Linked DNA regions of Caenorhabditis elegans. The protein of the gene in region 1 purifies or fractionates together with the protein of each later gene. This does not show direct contact. Each region holds a gene or a part of one and is shown in the gene's direction. Other genes may lie near its edges. The genes, in order: B0244.15 and Y38H6C.8.

Region 1 (3,783 bases):
TTATCAAACAGTGATTAATCATTGCCTGTCTTGCGATTGTCACAAAAAAGGTGTGAAATCACAAAAATAGTCACAAACTCTGTTTTTTTGTTGAAAAAATGAAATGGGAATGGAGCTAGAACAAGTTGATTATTAAGTCCTCGTATACAGCTTAACCTTTTGTTGTGACCTATTTGAAACTTGCTCTTTCAAATGACATACATCTTTTGTTTGACTTAAACAGTGCGGAACGTTTTACGTACAAATAATTTCAAACCTGTTTCAGGGTCCTATGCCGCGTTGGCGCTTCTTTTCTATGTTGGAGTAATGTATCCGGTGTACTTCAGATCTCTCATCACTTTACGATTTGTCTATATTTTAGTTTTGGGAATTTATTTGACTTCATTGGTAATTTCAGTAAGTTTTTATGGCCAGATATATTAAAAATACTAATTGAACACTATTAGGATATGGTTTCTGTAATGACTTGCAATTTTTATTCGGAATTGAGATTATTATACTTCAGATACCTATCGGTGTGTTTCAAGCAGCAATTCAAAGTCCCGGAGTTATCAACTGCAGCTTATCAACCTGTGTACCATGGGTGAATCTCATTGAATGTAACTACAGAAATTCAATTCAAATGTCTACTAAATCTACAAGTTACAGTTATAATTGCCAGTGTTTGCTTGGTGTTCACAATTGCTATTTTATTTTTTGTATTTATCTCTTTGGTGAGAAGTAGCAGGAAATTGAAAAGAGTAAGTATTTTTATAGAAAAATAGTAAAACTTGGAATTTCCAGTCAAATACTCTTTCCTCATCTGCATCCTCTGTGAAACGGGTCCGCAATCGTCTTGGTTGGTCAATTATTGCAGTTTGCCTTATTGCAGCGGCTCAAATTATTCCATACGTGTTTTTACTTGACGTAGCACCTCATGATATTGAGACTTGTAAAGGTTTCTACAAAGCAAATAAGTTTATGGGAGAAGTTATTGCAGGACTCTGTGAGTCAGTTGTATGGTAAGTGATGTCTAAAGATTTCATTTAGTAGGCAGGCAGATAAGCTTTACTTTAACAATCAATAAATAATTTTCATTTTTATTTCAGGATCTTCCTGTTCATTTTGGACCCCATCGTCAATATTTTCTTCGACAAAAAGGTCTCGGAAAAAGTAAAACAACAATTTCGATGGCTTCGTGAGAAGATTCCAAATATTTCTTCTGCTGCAGCATTAGCGCCATTGTGATGTTCATAACTATTTTCAAATTATTTATATGTGAAACAAATTATTTTACAAAGAAACAATTAAGTTATTCATATGTTTTTCGAATGAGATGTGGGTATACAAAGCAGGCATTGTTATTTTGGGTAGCCACAATATGAAGAGCTGCATGACTGTGTCTACATAATTCGAAGATTAATGTCCCGGCCAGTTCTTTCTTTTTTTTTAAACAGTAAGCTCTATAGAGCAAATCTTCGAATTATGTAGACACAGTCATGCAGCTCTTCATATTGTGGCTACCCATAATAACACTGCCTGCTTCGTGCCTCCCAGAAATGAAAAAAACACTCTACTGCTTGTTTCCCATCTCAACTGGTGAGCCTCGTTAGTCTTGTGCAGGTACATATTGTCGAAGCCAAAGAAAAAGCGAAGATTATGCGACAAACCTGACAACGTATCGGCCTACAATAATTACATTTTGGCATTCAAATTATTGTTTCGAAACAAAAAATTGTTCCTTCTCACAGTCGACCACTTTTTAATCTTCATTTACTTTCTCTCTTATCATTTCTCATTTCCAATCAGATGTCCACCACGAACCTGTTTTCCAATTGCACTAACCATTATCCCATCGAACAATATTTCCTCAACTGCACTAATACATCCCGTCCCTGTGAGCTCATCCATGATTTTGCGGTGGTGGCCGAGCTTCTAACTATTCTAGATTTCTACATTTCCTGCATTCTCTTCACAATTGCAGGAATACTCAATGTTTATTTTATGACAATTGTCCTTCCATTATACTTAAAAATGAGTCATTCAACTCAAAAAAGATACGTATTTGTTGTGAGTAGATGTGTATCATCTATTAGTGCAGCACTAACACTATTAATTCTTCGATGTATATTGTATGTATATTTTCCGCCTGGAAGTACGAAATCAAATTATTTCTTGTATGCCGTGGTGGTTATTGTCAATGATATCAGCTTTTATAGTCTACAAGGTATTTATTATTATAAGTGTAAAGTAAAAAGCTTCTTGAAGTTATTTTGAATACAAAATAAAATTTGAATTTCGGGCATGATCCAACGAACGACGTGCGAATGTTGATGATTAAGTCGGATGTGTTTCTAATTTAACTTCCAGGGTCTTATATCGGAATGGCAGTTCTTTTATACATAGGAGTTATTCACCCAGTCTATTTTTCCACCCATCTGCGCCTTCGAAAAATTTACATATTTGCAATATTAAATTGGATTCTGGCAGTTGTGGTATCAGTTCCTACTGGGTTATTTCAAACCGCTGGTTATGTGCCTGGCCCTATTAAGTGTGACTCCCAAGTTTGCAGTCCAATTGTTGGTTTGATAAATTGTGAGATTTCATACTGCATGTTGTTTATAAGGAGTGTCTCAGATAGAGATAAATCGTGATTACAACGTTCAATAATTTATTACTTTTTCAGTTATAATCGTCAGCTTTGCATTTCTTATCACAATAATCATCCTGTCTTTTGTCTTTATTTGCCTGAGCTTTCATATTCGAAAAGCCAAAAAACTCGGAAGTTACACATCTTCCCAAACTCTTCACCATGCTCGAGGGCGGCTTGGATGGACTCTCACAGCAATTATAGTAATCAGTTTAGCTGAAGGGATCCCAGAGAGTCTACTGATTGGACTTAAAGCAGACAATGCTCTGAATACTTGTAATAACTTTTATCAAGCTGATCGTTTGGTTGATGCCACTATTTTTACTTCAATGAATTCTATTGTTTGGTAGTTTATCCTCATAAATTTTCTTTTGCTTCAAAATATAATTTTCAGGGCGCTAGTTCTCATATTGGACCCACTCGCAAGTACATTATTCGACGAAAAAGTCTTATCAGAAACCAAAAAACAACTGAAAATGTGTAAAAAGTACTACGCAAAGGTTCTAGAAACTTTATGGACTCACTCCCACGGAAATCGAAAAACTTCAAAAGAAATGAGTCGCAACTCTTTTTCTACAAGTGATAATCCTTACTGATAAGAAGCGTATGAACTGCTGGTAGGGGTTTTAGATTCCTATAGTTTCCTATGGGGAAATGCAAAATATTTTCGAAAATTGTTCATATCATTCGAAATACGAGCCATACTTTCTAAATTGCACAAACACAACTAATCAATGTGTTCTTATTCAGGTTGGTCTTAAGTTTTAATCAAAAATTTCACACAAATTTTAGAGTGTTACTTGTGTGTTTTTTTTTTTGGATTATTGATTTATAAATAATGCAAACTTTCAAAATGTTGAATTTAATAATTTTTCTCATATTTTTTAAGGGTGCTGGTGAATACTTGAAAATTAAACAATGAAAAAAAACGAAAACACATCTGATTAAAAGTGCCAGTTTCCAGGACGTCGGTATTATTCAGGCAATCGACTTTTGGGCCAATTTATGTATTCCATTCACTTTATTTGTGATTGCATTTATCTTAAACGGATATTATTTATCAATATTAATACCTGAATTCAGAAAAATGAATGACACGTGAGTTACTGACTCACCTTGATTAGTAGTGCATGTAACTTTGTGGCGAAGCTTTT
Region 2 (4,310 bases), on another chromosome or scaffold:
ATCTGCCACCTTCTGCTCATGTCTCGAAATCGAGGGATTTGATGGGAGGGGATTGGGAAAATGACGATGCAAGGCAAACATCACGTTTCCGATATCAAAAGACATTGAATAAAAGAAAACCAATAGAATGTAAACTATTAAAGGGACAATTTCAGTGAAATTTATCAAAATACGAAAATAATAAAATTAAAAATTAGCGCCAGCTAACTATTTAGCAGAGCAAATACGTTTTGACCCAATATAAAAACAATAATATGAAAAAAAAAAATTAAAATAAAGTTTTACCAAATCGATATTGGCAAAACATCTTGTTTTTGAGGCTCCATATCTCTGCAGGAAAAAATCGCACTAAAAAGTGATTAACTGAAAACTTGTTAAACACAATGTAATCTAAAACTTTTCAGTTGAACACTTTTTTGTAAAAAATTTCGTTGCCAAGATATAGATCTTTAACTATTTAGAATATTCAAAAATAATGAAGCTCAAATCAATTGGTTCCAACTCGGCAACGAAATTTTTTACAAAAAAGTGTTCAACTGAAATGTTTTAGATCACATTGTGTTTAACAAGTTTCTAGTTGATCACTTTTTAGTGCGATTTTTTCCTGCAGAGATATGGAGCCTCAAAAACAAGATGTTTTGCCAATATCGATTTGGTAAAACGTCTTGATAAGGCATCAGAATCAATGATTCGGTCATTGAAAATAATGAAAAATAGGTTATTTGTGACACTCTAAAATATTTCATGCATTTTTAAAAAAATTTCAAAAAAAAATTTTTCGATCAAATTTTCTCATGGGTTTGGTGGAGAAAAAAGTGACAATTTTCGAAAAAAATTAAAATTTCTGAAAAGTTTCCAGGGTAATTATGGTTCAATTAAAAAGCAAAAAAATTATGTAAAACCCTCAAAAAAATGTTCTAAATACTTGTTTCCCGTTCTGAAAATTTTGTATAAAAAAGGCCAAAAGTTAAACCATGTATGGGAACCGAACACACAAACTTCTGCTCAAGAGGCGAACGCGTTCACCACTCGACCACCGAACCGATGTTTTCGCCCTTCCACCATTGTGGTGAGACTTCTGTTGGCGCCAGAGACAAAAATCCACTGTTAACCATAGGAAATGCACTGATTTCAGTGTAGAATTTCAGACGTAAAAATTTCAGATTTCCAGCTCGAACGGGCAAAAATTTCAGTCATATTCTTATAGTAGAGAATGTCAGCTTTCCGATACAATATTTTTTTTTTGAATATCGCTCCATTTATTCTGGTCATTCCCTAGTAAGGTATTAGTACGTAAGCACTAAGTTTTATAAAAGTTTCTCATGGTTAGACGGCAGAAACTCTTAGGGCCTGTTAACACAGCCTACCTAAAGAACCTTATACTTTTGAGGACCAGGGACGGTCCTGAAAGAAAGGGGGGAGGTGTAAGAGTTTCCGCGTCTCCCCATGCTCGGTACAATTCCCCACATTTATTATTGTCTTACAGGTCCAGCAAGTGCTGCCGTAGCGGGTAACATCACGGTTATCCGGCCAGAACCGCTGCCAAAGACAACGACTAGACTTGCCAACGTTCATCAATGCACGCTGCAAGTGCGCTCCACCGGACGGCGCGCGGATCTGAATTGCCGGCGCCAACTCTAATTGTCATCGTTCTCGAATGTTCTCTCCCCCTCCCTTTTCCCCTATAAAAGGAGCGGTTTCGCTCATTCGAGGCCTTTTTCCTTTACTTTTAACCCGTTGTCACGTGTTCGCTGTTTGCCCCCAACAAACTGCTTTTCTGTAAATTACTTTATTAACTAATAAACCTGCTCATGACAAGCCATTCTTACTATATCTCCGCTCTTCTTCTCCTCTTACAAACCTGCACTACAGAGCTTGTCTTTTCTCGTGAGAGATAACTAAAAAATATATGATAATCTCTCGATGTCTTTCTTTATTATCACTAACCTGAAAACTACATTTGGAGGGAGCTCACATCTTTCGCCTCCTGTTTTCTTATTGTCTCTTTCATCGTGAAAACCACAGATATATCTGAAAACTTATCTCATAGTAATAAACTCTCATTTCCCTATACTATTTTTACGAAGCTTCGATGAGGACTACATTTGGAAGAGTGAACTCATCGTCTCGTCGAACCCCACACTATTTCCGATAGTGTTTTGATCTCTGGCACTATTAACTCTTGACATACAGAAAACTATCGTATTACCTGAATCTCTCCAATATTTCCAAAAATCTCACATTATCGTTTCTTGATTGATAATAAAAAGAGATGCTATGACAATCAAGAATAAATTAATTCAAAGAAGGGTGGTGGAATTTGAAATTTCAATGCCTCGAACAACCAGACTATCTTGTTCATGCACCAATTTGTTACAAAACTCATGAAATTATGAAATATGGATGATTAAAATTTTTGTGATAAGTAATCACTACGGGAAGAGGCGCGGTTTCTACAAACACATATAAATAGAAGCTGATAAGATGAGTTTCTCCGCTGAGGAAGGTTCAAAATTATGCTTCGCTTATTTATCATTGTCTGTCTAGTGTGCTCTGTCGCGCCGGACTGTGTTCCGGGAGATGTTGGATTTGGAGATTCGTAAGTGAAAAGAGTTTTGTGGGACAGAAAACTGAATTGGAGAGTTCCAGCTGCTACTCGTTCAACCGTGTTCATGGAAAGTTCAAGGATGCCAACGATTTGTGTGTAAAGATGTTTGGAGGGAGTCTGGTAAAAATCACGAATATTATCGATAACAATTGGATGCAAAGTGAGATTTGTAAATTAGACGGGAACTACATGGTCTAATGGCGGGTGAAGCTAGCTAGGAATGGTATAGACAGACATATTCTAGCTCCAGCAACTTAATCAAGATAGATTAACATCGCATGCAAAATCTATCATGAAGAAAATCGAAACATTTTAACTTCCAAGCGTAGAAAATGTAAAAATAGCTAGATATTTTCTTTGAACGAGCTTTGCTAACTGATTCTTACCGCTTTCTATCACTAATGCCATGTCCACAGTTAGCATCGAAATTTGACAGAAGTCTGACTATAGTTTGCCCGATCCTTGGCTACCAATGAGTACCTCCTTCTTCATAAAAATGTTTAACATTTTTCCAGAACTGGCGGTAAACCACCTCGACGCCGACTACAACTCTTTTTGGATCGGAGCCAGCGACGCTGCCCACTACACCAATTGGACTTGGATTGACGGGAGCCCAATGCGATTCTCCAATTGGGGACCAGGACAGCCACTTGAAGATCGGCACTGCGGAACTATGCTCATTTCGACTGGAAAGTGGTTTTCCCAAGTGTGCGATGAAAGGATCCAGTTTCTGTGCCAGTATCCCAATGGGGCATACTCTCCAACATGCCCTCCGTGCCTAGAGATTTGATGATTTAAGTTTTTTTTATTACAACAAAGTACCTCTCATGTTAATAAATTACCTCACATTGTTTAATGGAAACAACATTCGAAAAAAAAACATTTTAGATTGTTATTTGATTTGGTTTAAAGTTTTCAGATTTTACATTTTCTCTAAAGCGTAGGCACATGTTTAGAAATAAGATTACAACGTTGAACTAGGATAAGGCTTATGCTTGTGGGCTATGCTCAGGCCTCTCACCTTGTTTCACTTAAGGCAGGCATATGATTGAGCTAGGCTAGTGTAACGGCGTAAGCTCAAGTTTCATCTTTAGGCTTAGGCTTAGACCTAAATTTAATCTCAGCTTTCTACCTCAGTTTTCTTAAAAGTTCCAGGAACAAACTTGCCCTTCCGCTTTAGAAGTCTCTTTTCACGTGGTGCCAGGATGTCCCATTACGGTTTGATCTACAAAAAATGCGTGATTTTTTTCTCAAAAAATGTGACGTCAACACGTGCTTAACCATGCGAAATCAGTTGAAAAGCATGCGTCTCAACTCCCGCATTTTTGTGGATCTACGTAGATCAAACCGAAATGAGACACTCTGACACCACGTGTCTTTTCAATATGCCTGTATCATATTATAACAACAATGACAAATTTATTGTGTACTATCAACTATTATTACTGATCGTTGTTGTCATAAATGCTTCGGAACCGCTCCCTATCGAAAATTTCTCCGCAAAGCTCGCTGTGCTCGTGTGACGTCCAAAGTGTGATCACCAATACTTTTGTCTCATCTTCCATGTCGAACGCTTGGCGGTGTGAAACATAATGGTGTTGACTGAAATTGCAATTTCAATAAAATTGGCCTCTAGGTTAATATGTTAATGTGCTTACTCATAACGATGAGGATGATGGACAGCCGGAACATCGAATTCCTT

What was found.
Region 2: the proteins of B0244.15 (region 1) and Y38H6C.8 fractionate together in Caenorhabditis elegans (co-fractionation; one large-scale study listed by BioGRID). This does not show direct contact.

Annotation. Positions count from the first base shown.
Region 1 is NC_003281.10:5,741,596-5,745,378, forward strand, and holds B0244.15 (G-protein coupled receptors family 1 profile domain-containing protein), read left to right. Parts: upstream 1-1,788; coding exon 1,789-2,206; intron 2,207-2,349; coding exon 2,350-2,574; intron 2,575-2,665; coding exon 2,666-2,975; intron 2,976-3,023; coding exon 3,024-3,225; downstream 3,226-3,783. Other genes in the region: B0244.16 (G-protein coupled receptors family 1 profile domain-containing protein), read left to right, coding at 266-396, 506-599, 649-740, 784-1,001, 1,089-1,227; Putative G-protein coupled receptor B0244.5, read left to right, coding at 3,284-3,379, 3,594-3,727.
Region 2 is NC_003283.11:20,512,250-20,516,559, forward strand, and holds Y38H6C.8 (C-type lectin domain-containing protein), read left to right. Parts: upstream 1-1,711; 5' UTR 1,712-2,516; coding exon 2,517-2,599; intron 2,600-2,649; coding exon 2,650-2,768; intron 2,769-3,123; coding exon 3,124-3,398; 3' UTR 3,399-3,483; downstream 3,484-4,310.